4 linked regions of the Drosophila melanogaster genome follow. The protein of the gene in region 3 interacts with the protein of the main gene of each other region in a pairwise test. Each region holds a gene or a part of one and is shown on either strand. Other genes may lie near its edges.

Region 1 (4,591 bases), on a different chromosome or scaffold from region 3:
AACCTTTTCTTAACCGATTTGCTTCTGCCATTCGGATCATTATTCTGTTGGAATTTCCATTTTAAGGGCATATTATAATAAGAATATGACAGTAAGACATCCCTTAGTATATTTACACATGCGTTTTGGTCTATAATACCATAAATCATATGTTATGGACTCATACCATTGTAAAAAATAAACAAGCCCATACCAGTATTGCAGGTCCACCGTGATTGAAAGTCTTCAGTGGGTGTTTTGGGTGGTACTCGGTGTTTGGAGGTCGTCAGATATAACCATATGAACCAGTTCCACCAAATAGCACTATTTTTAACACATCAGTCCAGGGGATATTACGCCATTTGGAGACTGGCCAGTTTAGGTGGGTTTTAGCGAAGTTTAACCTTGGCTTAAAATGCCTTGGGCTAAGTAGGGGCACCTTTCGTGGACTCCTCGCAACTAAATTTTGATTCAGTAGTCGTCTCCGTAAATATGCATAGGAATCAAGGCAATGCTCGGTTACCGGTTGATAATTTTATAGAATAATGTATATAATGTTTTATAATGTAATGTATTATAATGTATCGAAAGTTACTATTTTATACGTTTGTCAATTTATGTGAAAAAGTACATGCAATATATAAACTTAAGGTAACCAGGGTCGGCACAAAGAAAAATATTGTAGATGCACTTATTAGACGTGATCTTGAGTATTAATGATACTAGTATTTAAATAGTATTCAATGCTGTCATCTTTTAGACTGTATAAAGGCACTTATTAAACCAAATTTGTACTTCATTCGGCTTTATACTTTCATATGTACATCAATGTTCTTACACAGCCTTACATTCACGCATTCACAAACATTGACACCTTGCCATGAAAACTAATAAAATCGCGGCATTTTGGCACATTTTCAGAGGAAAGAACGGCCGGAGTGTCGCTAATTCAATTGTTTTCGCAGCCAAAAAGAAAAGTGGAATGGGTTGATTTCAAGTGAAAATTGCCCCAAACCACTTTTCCACTTTTTCACTCTCCTACTCGCTCGCACAGCAATGCAACGAAACAAAAGAAGCGAGATCCACGAAGAAGCTGCAGAAAGGCGAACAAAAGTTGACAGCAGAGGGTATGAAGGAAGGTGAGCGAGAGGGAAGAGGCTAAAAGTGACGAGGGCGAAAAGCTCAGAGAGCAACAACTACTGTTTATTTTGAAAAGAAATAAAAACAGAGCAGGGACCGACACAGTTTGAGTGGCTGCGAGCAGGACGGCGCATGCGAGTGAGAGCATTTTTGTTAAACTGTCATAAATCTTAATTGTGATGGAATCGGATTCGGAATAGGACAAAAGAAGGGTGACGAAACGACAAAACAGATTTCACACACTTTCGGAGCAAGCGAGACGGAGCGGTCCCACAACGCTATCTCTTTCCCTAGCGATTTCCCCTGTTTCAGTTCCAAGCGTTCACTTGCCAGCACAGGGGAAAGTCTGCGCTCTTGTCGCTCTCTCTCTCTCTTCTCTCTCGCGCTCTCTTTTGGCTACCCATCGGTTTCGGGTTCTTTTCGCCAAGAGTCAGTCAGTCGACAAGAAACCGTTACTGCGTACGATCGTGCGAAAAAGCTCGGCGCACTTGGAAAAATCGTACGGTAATTAGTTAGCCGAGTGCCGGCGAGTGCGAGCGAGAGAGTAGCACATTTAATCACGCTGACAGCCAGCTTGTCCTGCAAGGGTGTGGGTGGCACACACGGCACACACAACACACACACAAGTGCGCAGCCGTCGCCAGAACGCAAAATCGAATCAGAAATTGCCGTCGCCAAAACGCGGGCTTCGTGTTTGCTCGTCAACAGCAGCGCAGCTTCCAATCGCTGCGCGTCCGTCGCGTCGCTTCATTTTTTCATCCGTATCAATCAGTGAAGGCAGAGCAGCAGCGCCCCGTTGTTGTTGTTTGTCAGCTTGACAGCGACGGCAGCGCAGCAGCAGCGCACCGGCAGAGCACCGCAGCAGAGGCTAGTGACGAAGGAACCCGGCCAGCGGGATTCAATCGCCTTTGGACTTTCGTTCGAGTAGTGACGACGAATCCGGATGAGAAGACGCACGCATCGCGACCCGCGGTTCCGCCAGAACAGTGAATTCTCAGTTTAAAACGCGTTTTTGGGGGAGGATAGAACGAGTGTTTTCCAGGCCGCCATCATATCTAGTCAAAGAAGCAGAGGTTTGATACTCTCGAACGCAAATGCTCGATCAAGACTGAAACATACGAGAAACATACAACTACAAATGGTTCAACAAAGTATACGTAAAACTACCACAAGCTAAACAAAATATACCACAAAAATATATTTATTACCAAAACTAAAGATAAACTATTGCAAATATTTACATTAAACGGTATTTAATTCACCAAAATTACACTACATACATAATGTAAAGCCAGTTACTTAAATCAACAAACCTTAACGAAGTATACGATTCAATGCAATTAATAAATTAAATTTAAATCAACACAAATTAGGAATTAAAAATACAAACGCCTCGAAACGTCATTTTTTGTCTGACATACGAAAGTTTATAAATTACAAAATCCAAAAAATATAAATTAATCAGTTATACGCTGCAACAACAACAAGTTATACTACAACGTACCAAGTGCAAAACAATAGATTATATGATCATTGTGTCAAACTAAAGTTAAGTTCCAAAATCCAACTAAAATCCTCGTTGTTTGCTCCAAAAAGAGCAAACCATCCAAGTTCCAGCAAACCGTCAAAATTCAGCAAAATTTAAAAATGTTACACGAGGCTCTGATGCTCGAGATCTACAGACAGGCGCTAAATGCCGGGTAAGTGTTATATGGAAGATTATTTCCATAGAACAGTGAAAGATGTAGAATTAAGAAAAAGATTCACATGGCCTTATTCGGGGGATTCAAAAATGTGACTACTCTGGGTATGAAGGATAAACGAACTGAGATTTTACTACCAAAGTGCATCAAAGTGTTTTTCATTATGAAATAGTGAAATATTGAATTCTTAACTAAAAGTGGCCATACTCAAAATATTCACATATAAAATAATTACATTCATCTCATTCAGTTAATATTATTTTTTTGCAATTGCTTTTTATGTGCGTTCAAGTATCTGGTTAAATAGAATATTATATATACCAAGTATATACGACATATATTGAATATAGAACGTTTTCAATCAAAATCAAAAACCATTGTCATTGTGAACTGATAGCCGAACTTGTTGAAATAGTATTGCAGACTCTCAACCACAAATCGGCCAAATAAATATATCAAGAAACTATGATTTCATGGCATTTGATGATTGGCATTGGCGGTTCGGCGTAGTCGCACACCTGTCGTTATAAATTCAGCGCCTCGCCAATAGCGCGCCCATATATCACAACACCCACCCGCAGAACCAAGAGTACTGAGTTCACGACTACGAGTCCAGACCCTCGGATCGGGAAAAGCAGAACTTGATTTGAAAAGGGTGGCTGGCAGGGGAAATCCGAAAATAACAGAAAAATCGCCATAGTTCGATGATGGGATACTAACTTGGGGTAAGCGTTTGTGTATCTGTATCTGGGTTTCTCTGAAATTATGATTAAACAAGTTCAAGATATTTTTCGAACTCGCTCTCGAACAGTCACTCGAGTGAGCCTGAGTCTGAGCAAATTAACTGAAGGCTAAAAACGGGTTTTATGACACTATATTTGCGGGGGCGAGGGTATTCGGGGGTGCATCTGGAGTATTAATAATAAAGTGCGACAAATTGTCTCGCTCTCGTTTGATTTGCATGCAGATACACACGAATTTTCAAGATTTTCCAAGGCGATGACGTAGTCGAATTGAATAAATCATGCGAAAAAGTGAAAAACTCAAAATACGCTACGCTCTGCTTGCCATCTTTTCCATTCTCCACCCCCTCCAATTTCCCCGTGTGCGCCTATTACCGGAGAGATTTATGTTCACAATTTGCCGCTGGCGTGTGCGTGTGCGTGTGGCTGTATCTCCGGGTGCATGTGTATGTTTAGTAATATTTACTCTGCTACCTTAACGGATTTGTCGTGCCTTAGATTTGCTTTAACAGGGACAGTGTGTTGTATTCGGCACAAATAGATATACTGTTATTAATAACCTTCATTTCGCAGTATATAGTAAAAATATACTAGGGAATAAACATTTTAAACAATAATTCTACTATAAAAAAATTCAGATCGGTCAACTCATATTTATTTATATTCTCACCTGAGGTCCAACCAACTCTCCCATATCACACCAATGGGTGTACTCCCACTATTTTAGTTAGCCTGAGCGTTACGGGTGCATATCAATATGCAACTCTCTCGATTATTAATGAGACATTTCAACTTGTAATTAACTGCACTTGCTGGAGTTGCGTATAAATCATTTTGATTTAAGCCTAATCGAATAACGAGATTTCAGATTATGATATGCTGGCGGAGAAAACTCGTTGCCAAGTATTTTATACTAGTCAAGCAAAATAATGGAGAAACGAGCCGCTAAATGGGTTGTTTGCGGGCTCAATCGCCCCTTGCAATCTGGATAGCTAATTAGCGGTGAGTGATTGCGCGGTGTGTGTA
Region 2 (6,334 bases), on a different chromosome or scaffold from region 3:
ATTCAAAGTATTCCGGGCAGTGCCAGCATGCGCGTCAAGGTAGCGGCGATTGAGTGCTAGATAAGTGGAACGTGTTCTTAAATTGTGGAATGCATTGGGGCAGCGGGTGAATTTTTTTAAAATTTCTACTTTATTATTTATAAATTTAAAATTGGTCGATCAAAGTGATTTATATAAATTACTACACACTTTTGGGAATAACTGTAAGATGTGGGGTGAAGTACATTAAGCCGTAATGAACCATAATAAAAATAAAATACGCCTAAAATTAAAATTTTTTGTCTGTTTTACAGCTGCCAAAAATCTAAAAAATTAAAATTCTTCTGTTTTTATTGACCAACCCCACATAAAAGAATGATTTCTATCTGTGAGCCAGATAGTTTTAATTAAAGAAGAGCAAGTGTATCTACAGATGCTCCATCTCTTTCTATTACGTGTATAGATTATCTGCAAAGGATAACGCCCTTTTCTTTAATACTCCCAAAAAACCATTAATTAATACTTCGTTTTGATTTATTAAGTTATTTGTGTAAAGTTGTGTATTTATATATTTTTCTATTGTTATCCAAAATGTTTAATGCAGTACCTTACTTACTGAAATACATTGAATGGTTTCATTTGACCGTAATGTGAGCGAAAGTCTGTCAAAGACATATGTTATTTATCATTTAAAATTATAATCGTTTTGTATACTTTCAAATAATCTGTTTTCATATCCGTTTTAATTGGGGGCAAAGAGTAGTGTACACTTCTTACTAAGCGAAAGACGAATTTGTTCTTGATTTTATAATGCAATTAAGTTGGGAAGTTCGTTTTTATAGCAAGAAATCCATTAAGATTTAATGTTTAATACTTTTTAGGATGTAAGAAACAAACAATTGTTTTGAGACTTTTAAAATACACGTTAATAAATCTATTAAATGTTATAAGCTGTTAAATAATACAATTCGTCCTTCGATAGAAATGTGACATTTTGTTTATCCAAGACTTTTCTTTTCCGTTTTTACATTCAAAATATTTTTGTAATTAGTTGACGTGTGTGCGGATAACAACAACATGTATTATTTATTTATTTGATATACATCGTATACATGGTTTAGTTTCGTATTTTCGTATTGTTCAAGTTTTTAAAAATTTCGTACAGTTTTAAATTCAGTAAACACTATTTTGCTGTCGTATACGTACTGTAGCCAAAAAAGAATCGTCATAGTATGATTTACATGCAATATTTGTATATACCCGCAAATGTAGGTAAATGTATTAAAATATATTTATACACAGCTGCGGTCAAAATAATAGCTCTGAAACTTGTGCCTCCTCCACTCGTTGTGAAAATATTCGTATACTACCAGTTTAATCGAGTTTCTTTGCATATGTTTTCGATGGTTAATATATAAGCTAAATGGGGCTATGCAGAAAAAGTCACTGCATTGGTTATTAACCCTTTTTAAAGAACGTTGATCAAATTATAATCGCTTAAGCGAATTATTACGTATTTATGTATTTTACAGTTGACATGCCACAAACAACATGCTTTCCATTTCAATTGATTGTGAATTAAAAAAAAAAAGCGAGCAAACTTTTCGTTTTATGTTCGGGCAAAAAATATTCTTAATTAGGCCATTATTCAATTGTCGACTTCTTAATACATCCTGCATGCATATATTGTTAAAAAGCAGGAGACTGTGTCAATTAAAAAACCATATCAGCTTATTTACTTTCTTTTTTGATTTAAGCAGGCAAAGTTTTTTCTGCCAACCAAAATGTAGCAAGCACAAACTAACTATTACGTATTTATATTCTACTCACGTATTTATGTATATCTATCGGAACTATATCTAAATTGATGGGAATTTTAAACTTATCTGACTCGAAACCAAAGGACAGAAAGCTGAATTTAAAAATCCCTTAAGAATTGTTGTTCTTGGCGAAGAAGCAAATATAAGCCGCATAATTATGAAAAAACTGCATGTTAGATTTTTCAGCGCAGTTATTTTGACCGCAACTGTATGAGGGATTCTCCGGACTGGGAGTGGTTCACAGCCCTGATCCTCAGGGGCTTAGATCCTGATGGAGATTTGGGTCGTAGCCGCCCATGCTGTTGTCGTACGGTTGCTGCTGGTCGTATCCGCCGGAGCCCATTGGATAGCCCATGGAATCCTGTGGCGGAGCGGGTGACATCATGGGTGTGGTTGTCCCGCTGGGTGGACCGGCCATGGAATACGGTGAAGCACCAGCCGCCTTCTTGGCCGCATACAAATTGGCCTCCTCCTGTGCCTTACCAATGTTCTTCTTATAGCGAATACGCTTGTTGCCAAACCAATTCGATACTTGCGAGACCTGCATGAGTGTGTTTTGTTTTATTTACTATGCTGCAATCGGATTTGCATTGTTGATTAATGTGCCCTACACTACTTACCGTGATGCCACACTTTCGTGCCAACTCCTCTTTGGCCTCTTCGGATGGATATGGGTTGCTCAAGTGACTGTAGAAGTACTCGTTGAGAATCTCGGATGCCTGCTTGCTGAAATTGCGGCGTTTGCGGCGTGCGTCCAGGAAACGCGAACGAAGTATCATTACAGCCTCGCAGGTCGACTGCTTCAGCTGCATTTGTATGGAACTAAACTTTTTGTGGATGATCTGCACCATTCGCTCGATTTCCTTTGGTGTAATGGGTCTGAAATACGATTATATTACCCAAATGATGGCCATCATTTTGCATTTATCTATATACACCAACCTCGTGCGACTCTGTTCGCGTAGAAGATTCATGACATGCGTGGTGAACTCGTTGCATGCCTGCTCGTACTTCTCCAATTCCTGGTGATATATTTGACGGATCTGTGCCAGCTTGGCACGGTAGTCGGAATGCTCAATGGCATTGTCAGCACCATCGATGGACAGGGAACCGCCCTGGCTGGCCGCAGCCGCAGAGGCAGCCGCTGCTCCGCCACCGCCCTTCTCGGGTCCGGCCACGCCCTCGGCAATCAGCATGTTGTCCAAGCGCATCAGTTGCGGATCTGGGGGCTCCTCCTCCTGGGTGTTGCGAATCGAGAGGACTGTAATAGTTTTAACGAAGAAGACGAATGATAAAAATAATTTCATACTGAACGTTTTAAGACTATTACGTTAAGAATTGTGTTTGATTTAGTAAATCAATTGTATCACAAGCAAATCACAAAATCCATAATACCATTTCAACTTATTTGATGGTCTTGAATGAGAGATAAATATAGGGTTTTAAGCTTACCGGTCTTCTCCTTGATTTCGCAAAGTACAGAGAAAAGTGCCGGCTTCATTCGGTGACAGTTTAGTGTATGTTTTCTGGCCTGGGCCTCGTCAAGTGATTGCTCCGAGATACTCATTATCTGTTGCAATATCTCGCCGATGTCCTTCTGCTTGCGCACCTCGTTCTCGCTGCCGGCATTCTGGCCATCATCCTGGCCAGACAAGCCGTATCCTTGCGGAGCCATCATGCCGCCGGTGTGGGCCAACATGCGATTGGGGTCCTCCATGGTGCCGCAACACAAAGCAAGCTACAAATCCAAGTTTCTGTAATAATATTAAACATCAAATATTAAAATCATGCAAGAAAAAAGGAAATAACCCAATATTTTTTCTACCAATTCGATTTTTTAGTGTTTTATTATTTAATAAATATTTCTTTTTTATATAAAAACATAAGTTTGAAACCCTTAAAAATGTAGTAAAAACTTGAGTTAATGTATACTTAACAAACTGAAAACAAATACACCAATTAAATCTTTTGCTACAAAATTCATCATATCTATAGAAGAGATACCAACAAAGCCATTAAACCCACAAACCCCACCACAAAATAATCCCCCAGACATTTGAGCAAAAGTGAAAAGACATTTTGGTATCCTATTGGAAATGCAATAATCTCCACCTGTCGCAATCTCATGAAGCGGCATATCTTTTTGGGGGTGAAAAAGTATCTCAGATGCGTAGCACGAAGCTGGGCAGTTACCCGAACTATTTATGAACTTATTTCTATTTATTTATTGCTGTGTACCACAGGTAACGTTACATTTTACACATGTACAGATAAATGACGCCGAGTGCATCACATACATACACTTGTACGTATGTTTAGTGCCAGCAGAATGGTAAAAAAAAATCAACCTGCCAAGTTTATATTTACATACACACAAGGTTATGGTTAAGCATTAATTTGAATGCAGTTTGAAAACATTTTGTTGGTTTTACATGTACATTCTTGAGATTTTATTACGTCAGAAAAGATTTAAACTGTTTATAACAAGGTGTATGTACATATCCACACATCGATATATGTGCATGTAAGTATTGAGAAGCGTCCACTTGAAATTCCATACTCACGGTTTTTTATTTATCGTGATTGCCTCGTATACTTATTTGCCGTACAAGTCGTATTTTGTGTTATTTTCACTAAAAATTAGTGACACATTACTTGCAGTTGTAAATAACCGCAAGTATATAATATTATTATCTTTTTTGGACAACAATGAAACGAAAGTACGTTCTGTATACGCAGAAAAATAAATCGATATGAAAAAGTTTTCCAGTACTGTAAGAATATCGATAAGTATTCCATAAAATGCAATTTATATTTGCTAGTGAAAACGTGGACAATCGATATCTTACCCGTAGTTACATTCTAGTGCTTACTCACTGCGAGTTGGGTATCGATACTATTTAAAATGTGGCTCTTGAAATAATATTTTAAACATTTTTTCAATAAAATAAATAAGATATCCTCTACAAAAAATGTGGTATATTGGTATTGGAATATAGAAGAAATACAGATGATCCACTCTTATAACATATATTTTAAAAGGCTGATTGGAACTACGTTTAATTATATAACACATATATTTGTTTCTATTTTAGTCAACTTCATTTTTAAAAATGGTCTTTCGTTTTTAAGCGTATTATTACATATCTTCATTTTAATAAATACCATATAAATTATATAAAAGTGAAAGTGTGAAAAGGCTAAAATTCATTCACATCATATTCGGCCAATCGATAGTGATAGGCTGCAGCCCACTAAAGTCGTTATGGTCATATTGTGCTGTGACGTTTAGTCGTATGTTCGTGGACTTCGGAGAAAATCTTTTCTTAAACGGTTAATTCAGTAAAATTATTAATTTACTTTCATTGTGATCAGAAACGCTTTATAGAAAACTTGTGGAAAAGGTATTGAAAAGTGATTGTGACCAAAACGAACACAACCTCAAAAGTTTAAATGGCGTGGCTTTCATCCATATGTAAATGCATACGTGCATGAAAATGTACATTTATATATATCTATACTAAATAATTCAGTTTTCCACAATTTTTGTAACGTTGGGTCTAGTGTATATCTGCATAAAGCTACTTTACTTCGTGCTTACACAAAAATCACGCTTCAACAGTGTTTTTTATGGCCATTATACAAAAGTACTGAATACATAAGTAATAGGAAAAGATATATATGTAAAATATATATATACTTGAATGTTAAATTAACCTTTTTCCTTCGAAATTATAAGTAAATTTGAGCTAAACTAAAGTAATGTAAGAAATACTTAGTACGGAGTGGTATACATATGTTCGTTCATGCGCATTCCTAATTTTATTTTCTTTCCCTTTGCAGAATAGTTGAGAGACCAAAAATTTCAATTTTTGCGATACATAAGCGCGTTAAAAGCGTTACTAATATTTTTCAATATTAGCACGGAATCAGAGCTATCAAAAAAAAAAAAAGTTATCGATTTCCCGTGGCAGTGCGATTTGTTTGATTTTGATTTATCCATATATATTTTCCAAGTCAATTTGCGATTGACTTCACAAAGAATACCCGAGAGTACGATATCTTTGTCTAATTTGCGAACTGGCATTGCGCACCCCAAAGGAGGGGAAACAAAATCTTATATGACTTTTGAAAGATACGGTGGTAAGTAATAGTTAATCATCAACAACCCATTGAATCGATTTGTATCTAAGACACATATTTATCCCGACCACTGTATAATGTCTTACTACTAACCAAGATCCGGATCCATCCAAGGTTACTTTAACATTAAAAATAAGCTTAAAAATAAGCAGCCAACACATTTCCTTCTCCCACAACCGAAAAAAAAGCAAGGATACAATGGTTTCTGAAAAAGGAATTCCAGAAACTTCTATTGCGATACAAGTAAAAGGCAAAAAGAAGTTATCCAGCGAATTCAACTGCATTCTCTTATTTTATTTGTGTGGCTTATTATGCTTTATCTTCTGAATTATGGCATATGTTTATATAAGATATAAACCTATTAAGATTTAGACTTCGTATAAATAAATGCA
Region 3 (4,565 bases):
TATGTGGATTTTGTATGCGCGGGGCACATCGCAGTGTTTTTTGGTCGGCATTTTGGGCTATACGTTTGTCGGTGTGGGGCAACCTTGAGGCTATTTAAATTACAAATCGACGCCAAATAACACGACAGACAAGAGAAGCATTTCTCAAACTATTTTCATTTTTATTTACTGCCAACTTTTTAGCTCTTCGTTCATTTCGTTTACGGATTCGAATCGCCTGGAAGACTTATGCGAAATAAACGACTTGGAAGTGCTCCGCAAAGTGTTCATTACGAATTGGAATTGTAGGCGAAATGGCGGTGCAAATGGGAATGCTATTGGGGAACGTTTGCGCCACGTTTATCTATTGTTTATAAAAGGTACGCAGCAACCATTCCAAATACTACACTTGGGAAATTTAATTCGATAATTCGACTGGACGCTTTTTGTTAGGTCATACAATTTGTAAATCAGTTCGAACCTGGTTTAAGTCTACGGGTTGTTAAACAACTTAGCTGTTTAAATTTTTTAATTATAGTATTTAACCTAACATAGCGACTAAATAATTCAATCCAATATAAGTTCTTACAATTTTTTATTTGATTTTTTGATTTCAGTGTAAGTGGCCATGATTTATATGTACACAAAAAATTTTAAGAGATCGCTTTGTAGATCTTGAAGGCAATTTATTCTTGATTTAAGACGATATACATTCCCTGAAGTGCACGGATTATTTCTGATTTTATAATGATTGGCATGATATATAGAACACAGTAGATACGATAGACAGACTCTTAATTTAAAAGACTGATTGATTGGCTCAGTGTGATAAACTTGTATTGGGATATGTGTGATTCTCAATTCTAAAAATCGGATAACTTTCAAGATTTATCAAATTTGGCACTCACATTCAGATCCGAAGTCTTTCACAAAGAGTCCGAATCTGGCAGTTATTTTTTTACTTATGTATAATATATCTCCGCACTATCGAGTATCGAGTTTTGACTCACCTGTAAGCGTCATCCAGGGATACCTGGGCAGATCGGCGATACCGGCTCCGCCCGCTCCCCCTGCCCCTGGCATCACGCCGGAGGCGGGCTGTGTGCAGGCATTTCCCAGCGAGTCCACGCCGATCGCGCCGGCACTGGCCGCGGATACCGCGGATGCGGCGGCTGTGGCATGTTGATAGAACTGAGCGAACTGTGCAGATGCCGAGGCAGGTACGCTCATCGACTGGTAGCTGTTCATGACAGTGTCCGTGTACCTGCTGTGGGTGTGGGAGAGAGAAAGTAGCCATTATTGTTGGTGATCCCTGCTCTCATAGTACGTTCCCAACTCCAGCGCCCGTACTAAAGTCAAATGCTAATGAGGTGGCCATTTGCATGCCCCTTTCACCAAACTGCGGTTAGCTCTAATTGCACACTAATCCCGAACACGCCCACGCACAGCAGGGTTCACTGTACATGCACATGGAGTGCCCATACAGTAGTACTAATATGCAAATGGCCGCAGCGGAAGGTCAGCGTGCGTGCGAATCTTGTGGCCGGCGACAAATTGCCAGCGGCCACCACAGGCTGCTCTAATTTTCCGACTTTATGGCCATTCAATATGAATGGCCGGTGGCCGAGAGGAAAATGGACAGAGTCCCAGGATCCGAGACCCGATAATTAGAGCGCATTCGAAACGGATTTGCGGTTTTGCAGTGTTTGCAGATTTTACTGAAGGTCTCGACTGGCATTTCCGCTCGCCAAATTGAGAGCACGCGAAATTAGTTCTTGGAAGAGCTGAGTGTTTCTTTTTTTTTGTATTTTCAACCCCGGAAACATCTTCTTAAAGGTTTTGAAGCCAGGTAAAGCTAATGGTCATACTAAATTTGCATATATTTTAAAATATGATACTGTCTGAGAAGTTCTATCAATGCACTCCAAATATTTGAATATCATATTAGATAGTATAGATCATTTGTCATTGACTTTATATTTGCACTTCCTATTAGGGTCATTTAAGATCATTTTACTACGATTGGACATAAAACCCATCCCGATTTATAAAAATCTGCATTATCCCATACTTAAACAGGGCAATCTATCTTACCTGCACGACTTATCCTCCAGTCCGGTGAAGCCGGCCATTCCGGAGAGCCCTCCATGGCTGCTAGGGTGGTTAGACACGTACGGATACATCTTGCTGGTGGGGATGGCAAACGAGGAGCTAGCCGCAGCGGCGGCGGCGGCTGCAGCAGCAGCGACGGAACTGGCCGCGGATGCGGAGGCGGACGCGGATGCGGACCCGGGAGAGTTGTCGTTGAGGCTGCGGTGTAGCGAGGAGCTACCGGATGCCGAGGGCGATGGGGAGCAGCTGCTGTCGCCCGCTTGAGAATTGCCCGCTGACGGGGGCGTTAGCAACAGTTGCTGGTGGGCGTGTCCGTGCGAGGCAACTGCGGCGGCGGCTAGTTTGCTAATGTGGTGTTGTTGCTGCTGTAGCTGAAGAGCGGCCGAGAGCGAGGAGTATTGGTGGTGGTGTTGCTGCTGCTGGTGGTGCAGATGTTGCTGCTGCTGGTGGTTCAGGTGTTGCTGCTGCACCTGTGGGTGGTGCTGCTGGAAGGGCGACGATGAGGAGACGGGTGAGTGGGGCGATTGGCCCAGATGTTGGCTCAAATGGCTCGGCGATAGGGATCCTCCGCTCAAATTGAGATTACTGTTGTTGTTGCTGCTGCTGCTTGGACTGCTGCTGCTATTGTTGGTGTTGCTTGTGTTGCTTCCAGCGATCGTGTTGCTGCTGTTGTTGTTGCTGCTGCTGCTGGCTGAAACGCTGGCGGATGCAGAGGCGGCGGCGGCGGCTAGGGCGGCGGCAACTGCTGCAGATGACGAATTCGGGGGGGTGGTGGTTAAGTGGTGCGAACTGATAAACGGCTGGAACTGTGGATACTTTGGCAGCATACTATCGAAAACAAATTTTGACATTGCACATATTTTGCTCTCTGGCCGAGGATCGGATCTTCGGAATTTCGTTTAGTCCACTTGTTGTTCTATTTTAGTTTCGGAGATTTCTGAGTTCGAATGATTTGGGTTCTTTATCTGAGTCGTTTGGTTAATGGCTAGATTGAGTATTTCGTTTTATAATTTAAAGTTTCCTCTTTGTGTGACTTTAACAAATTTTGTTTGAATTCAGCGTGGAGAGGAGCGCTTTCTAGCCATAATAAAACAAAAGTTCCGACTACTTCTGTAAGCACAACCTAAATCTTAAACTTGAATGACTTTATAATTCAACACTGTGAGAAATAGCATTTTAAAAATATCTTTTTCTTTAACTTTTTCATAAGATTTACACAGCAATTTAATTTGTATCAATGTCTATTAAAATTTACTTGTCTTTAATGAACATCTCCCGTCTCTGTATTTAACTTTTCTACTTCATAATCGAATGCAAACTACATTGGACTTAGTATATAAATCACTAACAAAATTAATCGAATTAAAAGGTACTAAAAACAAAAATAAACTTGGCGTCCAATGTGATAAACAAGAATTAAAAATGGCAAAACAAAAAATATAACATGTTTATAAAAATTACTCGGAAACCATAAAAAGAACATTAACCAAATTGAATATGTTTGGATTGAACATAAATCTTTCGGGTAGCATGATACAGAACTCAAGTGAAAAAAATATATAATCCAAATGCTTTATATATTTTTCAGCTAGATTTCCCTGCCAGTGCCAACGAGTTAGTATGTGGGTTACTTTTACAGTACTATATGAGATGGCCAACAGTTAGTACTTTTTAGATAGAGTTAGTGAGACAGAATTCGGAAACTTTGCCAGCTGCCCGACTTTAAGCTACTTTTCTCGATTCCGAGAAGTGAAATGCATTTTGTTACCTTTCTCAAGTTTTCTCTAGCGAACTTTTGGCGAGCAGCTTGTATTTGCAGCTTTTCTGTTTCTGTTACTTTTTTCGCTCGAAGCTGGCGAATTCACAACGAAATTTGTTAAATTTGCATATGGTCTCGGGTTGCGTTGTATTTGCAGCTGTGGCACAAGTGTGTGTGTCGCATGTGTGTGTTTGGGGTGTGTGTATCTTTTATTTGTTGTAAAAGCAATTAAAATGCGGTCATCAATTACGCGGAAATTCGAATGGACGTCGTGCCGGCGGGATTTCGTACGTGTGATTTATAGGCGCGCGATCTTTTTTAATGGCACTCTTGTATTTTTATGGCAGAGTGAGTTTCCTGCGGCTTTTAACGACTTCTCAAGTGCGTGAGTGTGTGTGTGGCCGGAGAAATGCTTTCTCCCAACGTTTTGCTTTAATTACTTTGTTTAAAATGTCATAAAACACTTTGCAGGTAGAACTATCGAAGTCTGGAACGGAGAGGCGAGAACCTTTTTACGATGTCAACTTTATGTCTTTTTAATTTTTACGAACCGCACACAGTGAGTTATAAACCATAGTGTTTTGACAGTTTTTTCGGTTTTAAATTTCACACACAATTTTATTATATTTTACGCGATCTATAACATTTAAGTGACAATAAGCCGGCGGCCGAAACGGAACAATAAACACGGCGAATCGGAAACTGAATCGTATTG
Region 4 (7,924 bases), on a different chromosome or scaffold from region 3:
AAACGCTGGAGGCACTCCTCGCCTGGAGGGGATGCGGATGCGAATGCGAATGTAGATGGGGCGGTGGAGAGCCCAGGGCCAAAGAACTGGCGCCAGGCACCGACTGATCGTCCAGCGATGATGATAAGGAGCAGGCTGAGCCATTTGATCTCAGGCGCTTGATTTGCGGACCATCCGAATCGCCGATCGACGATGTTCCTCCGGCTGTCTCACCGCCTCCTTTCGTTGGCGACATGTCAGACTCGGATTGGGACTGAGAATGGGATAGTGACGGCGACTGATCTTGATCCTCGCCCGTTGGCGATGAAGACATCTTGCGTTTGCAGCGCGATTGTCCCGTTTCGCGGAAGCCCTTGGCAAACGGATTGTTGTCGATCTTCAGCTTGGTGATGCGATCGTTCTGCGGAAGAAGGCAACAAGACGAGCGTGAAATATGACGATTGCCGCCAGCATAATCTTGGGCAACGGGGAGATGGAGATGGAGAAGGAGAAGAAGACTCATCACATAAGTCACTGGCGTCCAGTAGCTGGCGTTAAGTAACATGGCCACTTGACACCAGACTGCGTTTCCAGTTCTCGGTGCTCAGTTCCACTCCAGATGACTTGACAACATTGTGATCTTTCGGATCTTTCTCAAACCGAATCTCCGATCTCTCGGCGATCTTGCTAATTAGAGGCAGACTGGCGTCGGCTGTCAATGGGCCTAGACCTAGACAAAAACACAGCGAGGCGCTCAAATTTACAAGGATGTGGCTATCCAACTTCCTAAAACAACAATCCGACCCGCTGACTTTCTGCCTGCCCTGCCCACCAACTACACGATCCACGGAGGCGTTCCATGCTAATTCGAGACGTTGACCAAGCTACCCACGGCGTGAGCGATCGCCGCTCGTTTGCCCAAAATTAACCAATTAGTGTGATCGTTTCCAGTCTCTTTGCTCAATGAATTGGCAAAAAAAAAAATGCACACACAAGTAGGAAGGCTAACTTCGAGGACACATGACTCGAATACTCTTGGACGAAACATTTTTGTTAAATACCTAATAGTGCGATTTTAGACAACCTTGGATAAGTCTGTGAATAACATGTGAATTAATCAAAGATAGGATACCATGAGGTGATTTTGAACTAGAAGGGATTCTCATCGTGTGGCAAAGATATATATTTTATTTGAGAGTACTAATTAGACATTGAGCTAGACTCATTACCAAAATGATGGCGCCCATTGAGAGGGTAAACGGAGTAGGGATGGGGATGGCACACCACTTACCTGGTAGGCTGTCACGGCCACGAACTCCGTCTCGGCGAACACAAAGGCCTGTTGTGGGGCCCAGGGAATCTGCGCCAGATCAGCGGTGCGTATGACGTGCAGACGCGGCTGATACTTGTGCATGCTGGCCAGGACAATCTGCGAATGGGGATGGCGAAAGGGGTTTGGACTTGGATTAGTAACTGGAGACGACTTCAAAGCCCTGGCCGCACTTACATGGCCGCTGTTATCCAGCGTGTTATTGGTCAACTTGACCTTATTGAACAGTATGGGCTGCGCCTGCCAATGGGCACCGGTGGCCGGACTGTCCGGATGCAGGTACATCCGCTGGGGACTTTGCGGCTCGGCTCCTCCGGCTGGAACCCACTGGGAGCCGGAGAACTTGTAGCGGCAGTCGCCAATGGGTACCATCTCGAGGAGCACGCAATAGTTGCTCTCGTCCTCCAAGCCGGAAACACTTAGTCGCATCGAGGGGAACATGCGTCTTTAGGGGAAAGGAAAAGCATCTTATTAGTTTAATCAGTCTCTTATTATATAAGACAAAATCATTTTTCATTATATTATTAATACAAATAAGACTTTAATATCATAATTATATGGTATATTTTACTATTTGATAAATGGCTAATTTCAAAGTTGTTATAAAACCTAGCATAACCTTTTGTATATACCATATTAGACATGAGAGTTATCTTACAGATATTTCCCTTATAAATATTACCAAATCGTTGGTATACTGCTTTCCTACAACATTTTCCTCTGTGTCAGATGAGCGGGGGAAGTCCAGGAAAACGCCTGGAAAACCTTAGAGCCTTTGTTTACCGAACAAACTCAAATATAGTCATGCTAGAACGACAAAAGGAGCCCATTCCCGGTTCCAGCGTGGGCGTTACAAATATTTAATTGTGAGATTTCCCTTCCATGCGCCATGTAATTAGGACTGGTCAAATAGAGATTGCCCGGTGGAGTAGGGGCCGTTTTCCCTGTGCTAACAAGGATGCGAGGCCCTGACCCTCGCCTTCAACTCCAAGTCGCTGCCGCAGGAACAGCAGGTGGTCACGGCACTTGGCGCCTGGCCGAAAAATGTTTGCCCTTCGTCCTCATCCTCAACAGCGTCCTCATCCTCGAATGGTTTCTTGTTTTTGGCAATGATTTCGTGTTTCCCTCAACCGATGATTAATTAATTGAAATCCACAGAGCCTCGGTTTGCTAACATTTAATTTGATTCTGGCTTCGGGTCTGCCTTTTCAGCTCCGTTGAATTCCATTAGAGCACGGCACCGAAATATTTCGACATTTGTGCGGTTTAGAATTTCATTTTCAATTTGCTTGCTCTCAGTTTTTGTTTATTGTTTTTTTTTTTCTTTATTTTTTTGGCAAGAGTCCGCTGTCTGGATTTGGACAAACGATTTGTTAAGATCGATATCTTTGGCGCGTCTGCGCATAATTACCAGTGGAATTTTCTACTGCGAGTAAGGAGCATGCTGACCACTTGACGGCATTCGACTTGGCGCTTGACGCTTCGCAGGTGCAGGGACACAAGCCAGGAATGCGACGGAGCATCGGATCTCGGACTCCCGAAGGGTACTCTGGAAATATCCAGAGCTCACTCCAATGTTTACCCTACAATTCCATATAAATAGCTGCTTGATATTCCCAGAATTAGCATATTTAGGAAATTAAGAGTGAGACTATTTATTAATTGACAGCTATAAAACTGGAAGCAAACGACATAAATTTTGAACTCTTCAGATCGTAAGCCAGTTTTGAATGAGTCTACTAGGAATAACATTTCTTATTAGAGAAAGGGTAAAATATTTTCTTTTTTTCTTTCTGCAACTAAAAGTTTGAATCCAATTGAAAATTCTGGGTATATTTGCGCTTCTCATCGAAGTTACCGTGTCGCTTCTGTTTACCGCCTCTCTTGGTGAGTGGAGGAGCCCACACAGTCTAAAAGCATCGTGACAAAGTCATTTCATTTGCCGCCAGTATCAGACATTAAGCGATACGGTTTGTTCTATCTAACTTTAATGGCCGTCTGCGCTTTTACCACCCAAAAAGATGGAACGGTTCAAGTGGCAAGCGGAGCCCAGACAAGCAACTAATTAGTTTTTATGAGCGCCACTTGGCATAGGCATAGGTTTTGGACTTGGGATCGTATCCGTATGGGAAATGAAACGGGGATTGGGATGCGATTGGACAGACGGTGGCACTCTGGCGCCTAATCATTAAAAATTCAAATCGATTGCATCGCGACCTCTCCACCGATGCCCATAAAACATTTTTGATGAGCATAAAAAGTATTTAATACGCAGACTATATGAATAATTCATGGCATATATAAAACAAAAGGGTTGTTCGTGGCTCGAAGTGTATTCATTCAATGCATTTCGAGACCAAAAGTTTATGTTAATGCGTTTGGGAACCCTTTTTGATCGGCTCGAACTGAGGGCAAGTGTGAAATTGCTCGTATCTGTCGACAAGCTGTGGTCACTGTCACTGCCAAAAGATACAGATATGTACGAGCATCTTATAGAATGCAGAACGCGAAGATATTTCGGGGCCGCAGGTTGTTCGCTGCGCAGACAGGCGCCACAATAAAAACGCTAAGAGCTACAAAGATGACGACAAAGTATCCTTGACGCGAAGATTTATGCCAGGCGAGGCATAAAGGAGCGCCGACGAACCGACAGGACGTCCCACTGAGCTCGGCGCTCGCCCGATCGGTCCAGTTGGTCGGTCTACAATAAATTACGATGACGCCACTTTACGCACATTCGAACAAGTGCCGGACACTTTTAGGTAGTCGCCTTTGTGCAAGTAGTCGTGCATCTGATCTGATACTCATAGATACACGATAAATTAGCTCCGGGCGATCGCGCTATGCCTTTGATTCGTACTATCTACGATCTGAGCACGCAAAGTGCCGGCGAACTTGTTCGCTTTACGCCTCGTGCGATAGCCGATGTCCAGTGCGCATCAATTTTGGCTGAACCTGCAACCGCTTTTCCATTTCCCGATTTTCAATTTTCAATTTTCGATTTTCACATCCTGCCGACGTAAGTGCATCCTTCCGCCTTGTTTGCCTGTGAAAATCGTTGTCGCGACGCCGCTGTAAACAATTTGCAGGCGCCTGCATCTAATGAGCCTTTAACAGCAGCACATCCTCGCTGGACTCTACTGAATCGGATCGGAATCGGGATCGGGCCAGGGATCGGGCTAGGGATCGTTATAGGGTGCTTTAAGTGCCCGCGCCCGTTGGCTGGTTTATTATTCTTTGCCCTGCGTCTGGGGTATTAGTTTTCATGTTCGTGCTAATGCATCGCTACATCTATGTTTGTTCCCGATCTCTAAAGTCTGTATATCTCGAGATTCCCCCACTCTTGGTTTTTCATCATTTTCATCATCAAAGATCTTTTCTCTCTGTTCTAAACCTACCTGCCACTCTTGGTGATGATCATTTCCGTGCCAATTTGATGGAACTGCTTCCATAGATCGTCGTTCTGCAGGGTCATCTCCACGCCGGGCAACGTGACTCGAGGTGGCATGATCACGTGCCGTGGCATCGGAATTGGCAGCATCGGCGGAAACGGATCTGAAAAGAACAATAATCAATAGGGGGCTTATAGGTTAACAAAAGCTCAAGCAATCTAACAAACTACTTAGTCTTCAACAAAGAAAATTAAGAATTATTGAAATTATGTAAACATATTAACATGGTATTTGGCTAAAATGAAACCCATTCAAATAACTTAATAGTCGCCATTAGTTTAAGAGCGTGGGTCTGAATTAAAGTGTGACATTTCTGACTTATCCAAAGAGATCTTACGGCATAAATCCATATGATGACTGACATATTTGTCATAAAAACAAACGAACAAACATGGGGTTATATAAAAACGCTTATTTGGCGAACGAGGAACACCGATTCTTTCCCGATTACCAAACTTAATGCCCTCCATCTGGTATCCACAAAATAAGGAGCGATACTTTGGCAAACAACGATTTTGTTTTAGGGGTACGCTGATCCCGAAATTTAACGACCGTCGGCAACAAGAAAAATGCATTTGATATCAAGTTTCTCGATCGGCGATCACTTTCCCACATTACTCAGCTTTATGATCCGCTGGCCATAAACACCGCTACTCGCACACACCCCGCTGATCTTGGCCAACTTTGGTGGGCTGAGACAGTAACAGAAACAAAAGCAGTTTGCCAAAAGTTACGACCATTAATGCTAATGATGGCTAACAGCTTTGCCGCACGCGTAACGGGGCGGATGAGTGATATGAAGGGGGCAAGCAGTTTACCTGGTATGCGCTGCATGATCTGCTGGCGATAGATCTCGTGTGCTATGTGCTGCTGCATGCGCAGATCCACCAGCTCGTTCATGGTGATCATGATGTGTTGGGTCCAAAAATAGTACTAAATCTTTGCCCGAAACTTCTTTGTTTGGCGTTTGTCACTTGCACAATTGTTCCCCAGCACACAAAAAGCACTGTCACAACATATGGCGGTGTCTATTTTTTTGGAGCCCGGGTTTACTTTTTAGCCGAGCACGAGACGCCGCCGATTAGCGTCAATTATGCAAATCACGGCACACAAAAGTCTCTCATGTGCGTGGGTGTTAATTTGATTAGGCCCGGTGTCGCGTACGTGGGTTATTATTTTACCACAAATATATTGAGAGAATTTTTTGTATCTTTGGGCGACGGTCGTGTCTTGAGCTCGCCAAGTTCGCATTTCAACTGAGCAAGTTCCGCTGGCAGAGCGATCTCTCGATCGAGCTGAATGGAACGAGCTTGACTCGTTTCCGTCTTGAGCCATTGATCGAGATTACCTGCTGCTCACCATCGATTGGCTGTGGCAGTGTACGGAGTGCGGGAGCTAGCCGTCCCGCTCTGGTTTGGCACCTCCATTTTGAAAAATCCTCTCGATTTTCCAGATGCCATGGCTCCGCCCACGAAGCGCTGACTATCACTCTCTCTCTCTCTCTCTCTTCACATTGTGCCAGCTCGCTCTAATTGCGTTTAATTCTGAAGTGCGAAGTTGCACAGTCAGCGGAGGAGCAGCAACATGTTGCTTCTGGGTCCATTCGCTATGTGTGTGTGCGCTGGCTGGCTGCCTTTTAATTATGATCATGATGATTGAAATTGTTTTTTCTCCGTCTCCGCTTTTTGGCATCTTTTTGTGTATTTATGCTTTGCCCATTTGTAGCCGCTGCCATCACCATCACCATCATGGTGGTCCTCTTGTCTGGCCTCTCCAAGCCGTGTGTGTTTGTCGTTTTGCTGATCATTTATTACATTTTACCCGGCGCACTACAGAGAAAAGAATTTATTGATGCTGTTTGAACAGCAATTTGATGGTTTTTTATTGAAAAATATTTACTCTTGGTGTGTTTGGCAGCGTATTGTATAAGATATTGATCTAAGTATCAGTAAAAGTTCCAATCACTTACTTTAAAGTACCTTGTTTACCTGTTGGCGGATTGATGTTGGATGAAATTGCTTGGTCATCGTTGCAATAGTTTTTTTTTATACACATTTTAGAGTTTATCAGTAGAGAAGAATTGGTAAATAGTTTAATTAATTAATATATTGGGGCCCATTATACAATAATCTTTACTTTTTAATTAAACGAATAACACTTTAATGCAGTTTTCTCTGTGTAATTATATGTTATTTCGACTTTGACGCTGCGTCATTCAGGCATTGATATGGCGGCATCCAAAGGCCCGATATGGCGTCTCCACTTGCTGGTACACGAATATCTATAGGCTATAGTCTAGTCTACAGATATTGCCGGCGATGCAGGTGATCACTGTTTGTGGATCTGACCTTTTAGAGAGCTTGGCAAAACATTTGTTTCAAACGACGGAAACGCGTGTCGGAGCTGCTTGCTAACAAATTCGAAACTAATTAAGGCCCAATGAGGTGGTCTGAACTTTGACTGAAGTTAAGCATACGCCATGTGGGCCGACGATGGCGAAACGTGCTCGGTTTTTAATGTGTTGTTTTCTTTTTTTTTTTTTTGCCAACGACTAGTCTCGTGTTTGCCTCCAGTGCCACTTCCTTTCAAGTTTAAGACAATCGCTTGGCTTATCTGAACAGCATTACTGCGAAATTCCTGAGGCTCTCGATGGGTAAATATGTAGTTAGCCGAGCTAATTTACACAGCACTTTGCTGGCCTGACACATCCACGCATTATTTTCCTATGGATATGGCCATAGCCACAGTTGGCGGCGATAAGCGTCTGAAATTAATTTACTATTAGCAGGCCATTTCGCCCAAATTGCGTTCTGGCCACGTATGAATGTATGCGCCGTCTGACCATAATTTATGCCTCGCGTTTTCACATTTGGTCGCGCTCATTTCCGGTTGCGTTTTCCGTTCTGCCGTCTTTCAGCTCGACTACGTTCGTCAAACCATTAGACATCGATCCTGTAGAGCCTCTAAAGGGTCTGCCCTTTCAGACCATGCCAATAGCTGTGCAATTTGTCAGCACCCAGCTAATTGGTGCTGCCCCTGTGCCTGCTGTCTGACTAATGCATTTCGGTTTACTTCCGTTCGGTTCCGGATAAATGGGCCAACAGGTAGCAAATGATGCACTCGAAGAACTGCTAGTTGAGCAAGTAGTGTTTGCAATAATTAA

What was found.
Region 1: the proteins of abd-A (region 3) and tsh interact in a protein complementation assay, tested with the Drosophila melanogaster proteins (3 studies listed by BioGRID).
Region 2: the proteins of abd-A (region 3) and exd interact in a protein complementation assay, tested with the Drosophila melanogaster proteins (4 studies listed by BioGRID, with this or other methods).
Region 4: the proteins of abd-A (region 3) and Doc2 interact in a protein complementation assay, tested with the Drosophila melanogaster proteins (2 studies listed by BioGRID).

What each region holds. Positions count from the first base shown.
Region 1 is NT_033779.5:21,827,040-21,831,630, forward strand, and holds the start of tsh (teashirt), read left to right. Parts: upstream 1-1,553; 5' UTR 1,554-2,766; coding exon 2,767-2,819; intron 2,820-4,591. UniProt on the Drosophila melanogaster protein: Homeotic protein that acts downstream of Arm in the Wg cascade during embryogenesis to determine segment identity throughout the entire trunk.
Region 2 is NC_004354.4:15,990,691-15,997,024, reverse strand, and holds exd (extradenticle), read right to left. Parts: upstream 4,326-6,334; 5' UTR 4,101-4,325; intron 4,090-4,100; exon of another isoform or gene 3,912-4,089; intron 3,554-3,911; 5' UTR 3,517-3,553; coding exon 3,252-3,516; intron 3,061-3,251; coding exon 2,742-3,060; intron 2,679-2,741; coding exon 2,420-2,678; intron 2,341-2,419; coding exon 2,053-2,340; 3' UTR 516-2,052; downstream 1-515. Other genes in the region: CG46312 (uncharacterized protein), read left to right, coding at 5,921-5,942. UniProt on the Drosophila melanogaster protein: Transcription factor which acts with the selector homeodomain proteins altering the regulation of downstream target genes such as wingless (wg), teashirt (tsh) and decapentaplegic (dpp), thus affecting segmental identity.
Region 3 is NT_033777.3:16,825,062-16,829,626, forward strand, and holds the start of abd-A (abdominal A), read right to left. Parts: upstream 3,045-4,565; 5' UTR 2,943-3,044; coding exon 2,074-2,942; intron 1,247-2,073; coding exon 990-1,246; intron 1-989. UniProt on the Drosophila melanogaster protein: Sequence-specific transcription factor which is part of a developmental regulatory system that provides cells with specific positional identities on the anterior-posterior axis. Required for segmental identity of the second through eighth abdominal segments.
Region 4 is NT_037436.4:9,013,222-9,021,145, forward strand, and holds the start of Doc2 (Dorsocross2), read right to left. Parts: upstream 6,026-7,924; 5' UTR 5,671-6,025; coding exon 5,580-5,670; intron 4,865-5,579; coding exon 4,708-4,864; intron 1,755-4,707; coding exon 1,487-1,754; intron 1,409-1,486; coding exon 1,271-1,408; intron 401-1,270; coding exon 1-400.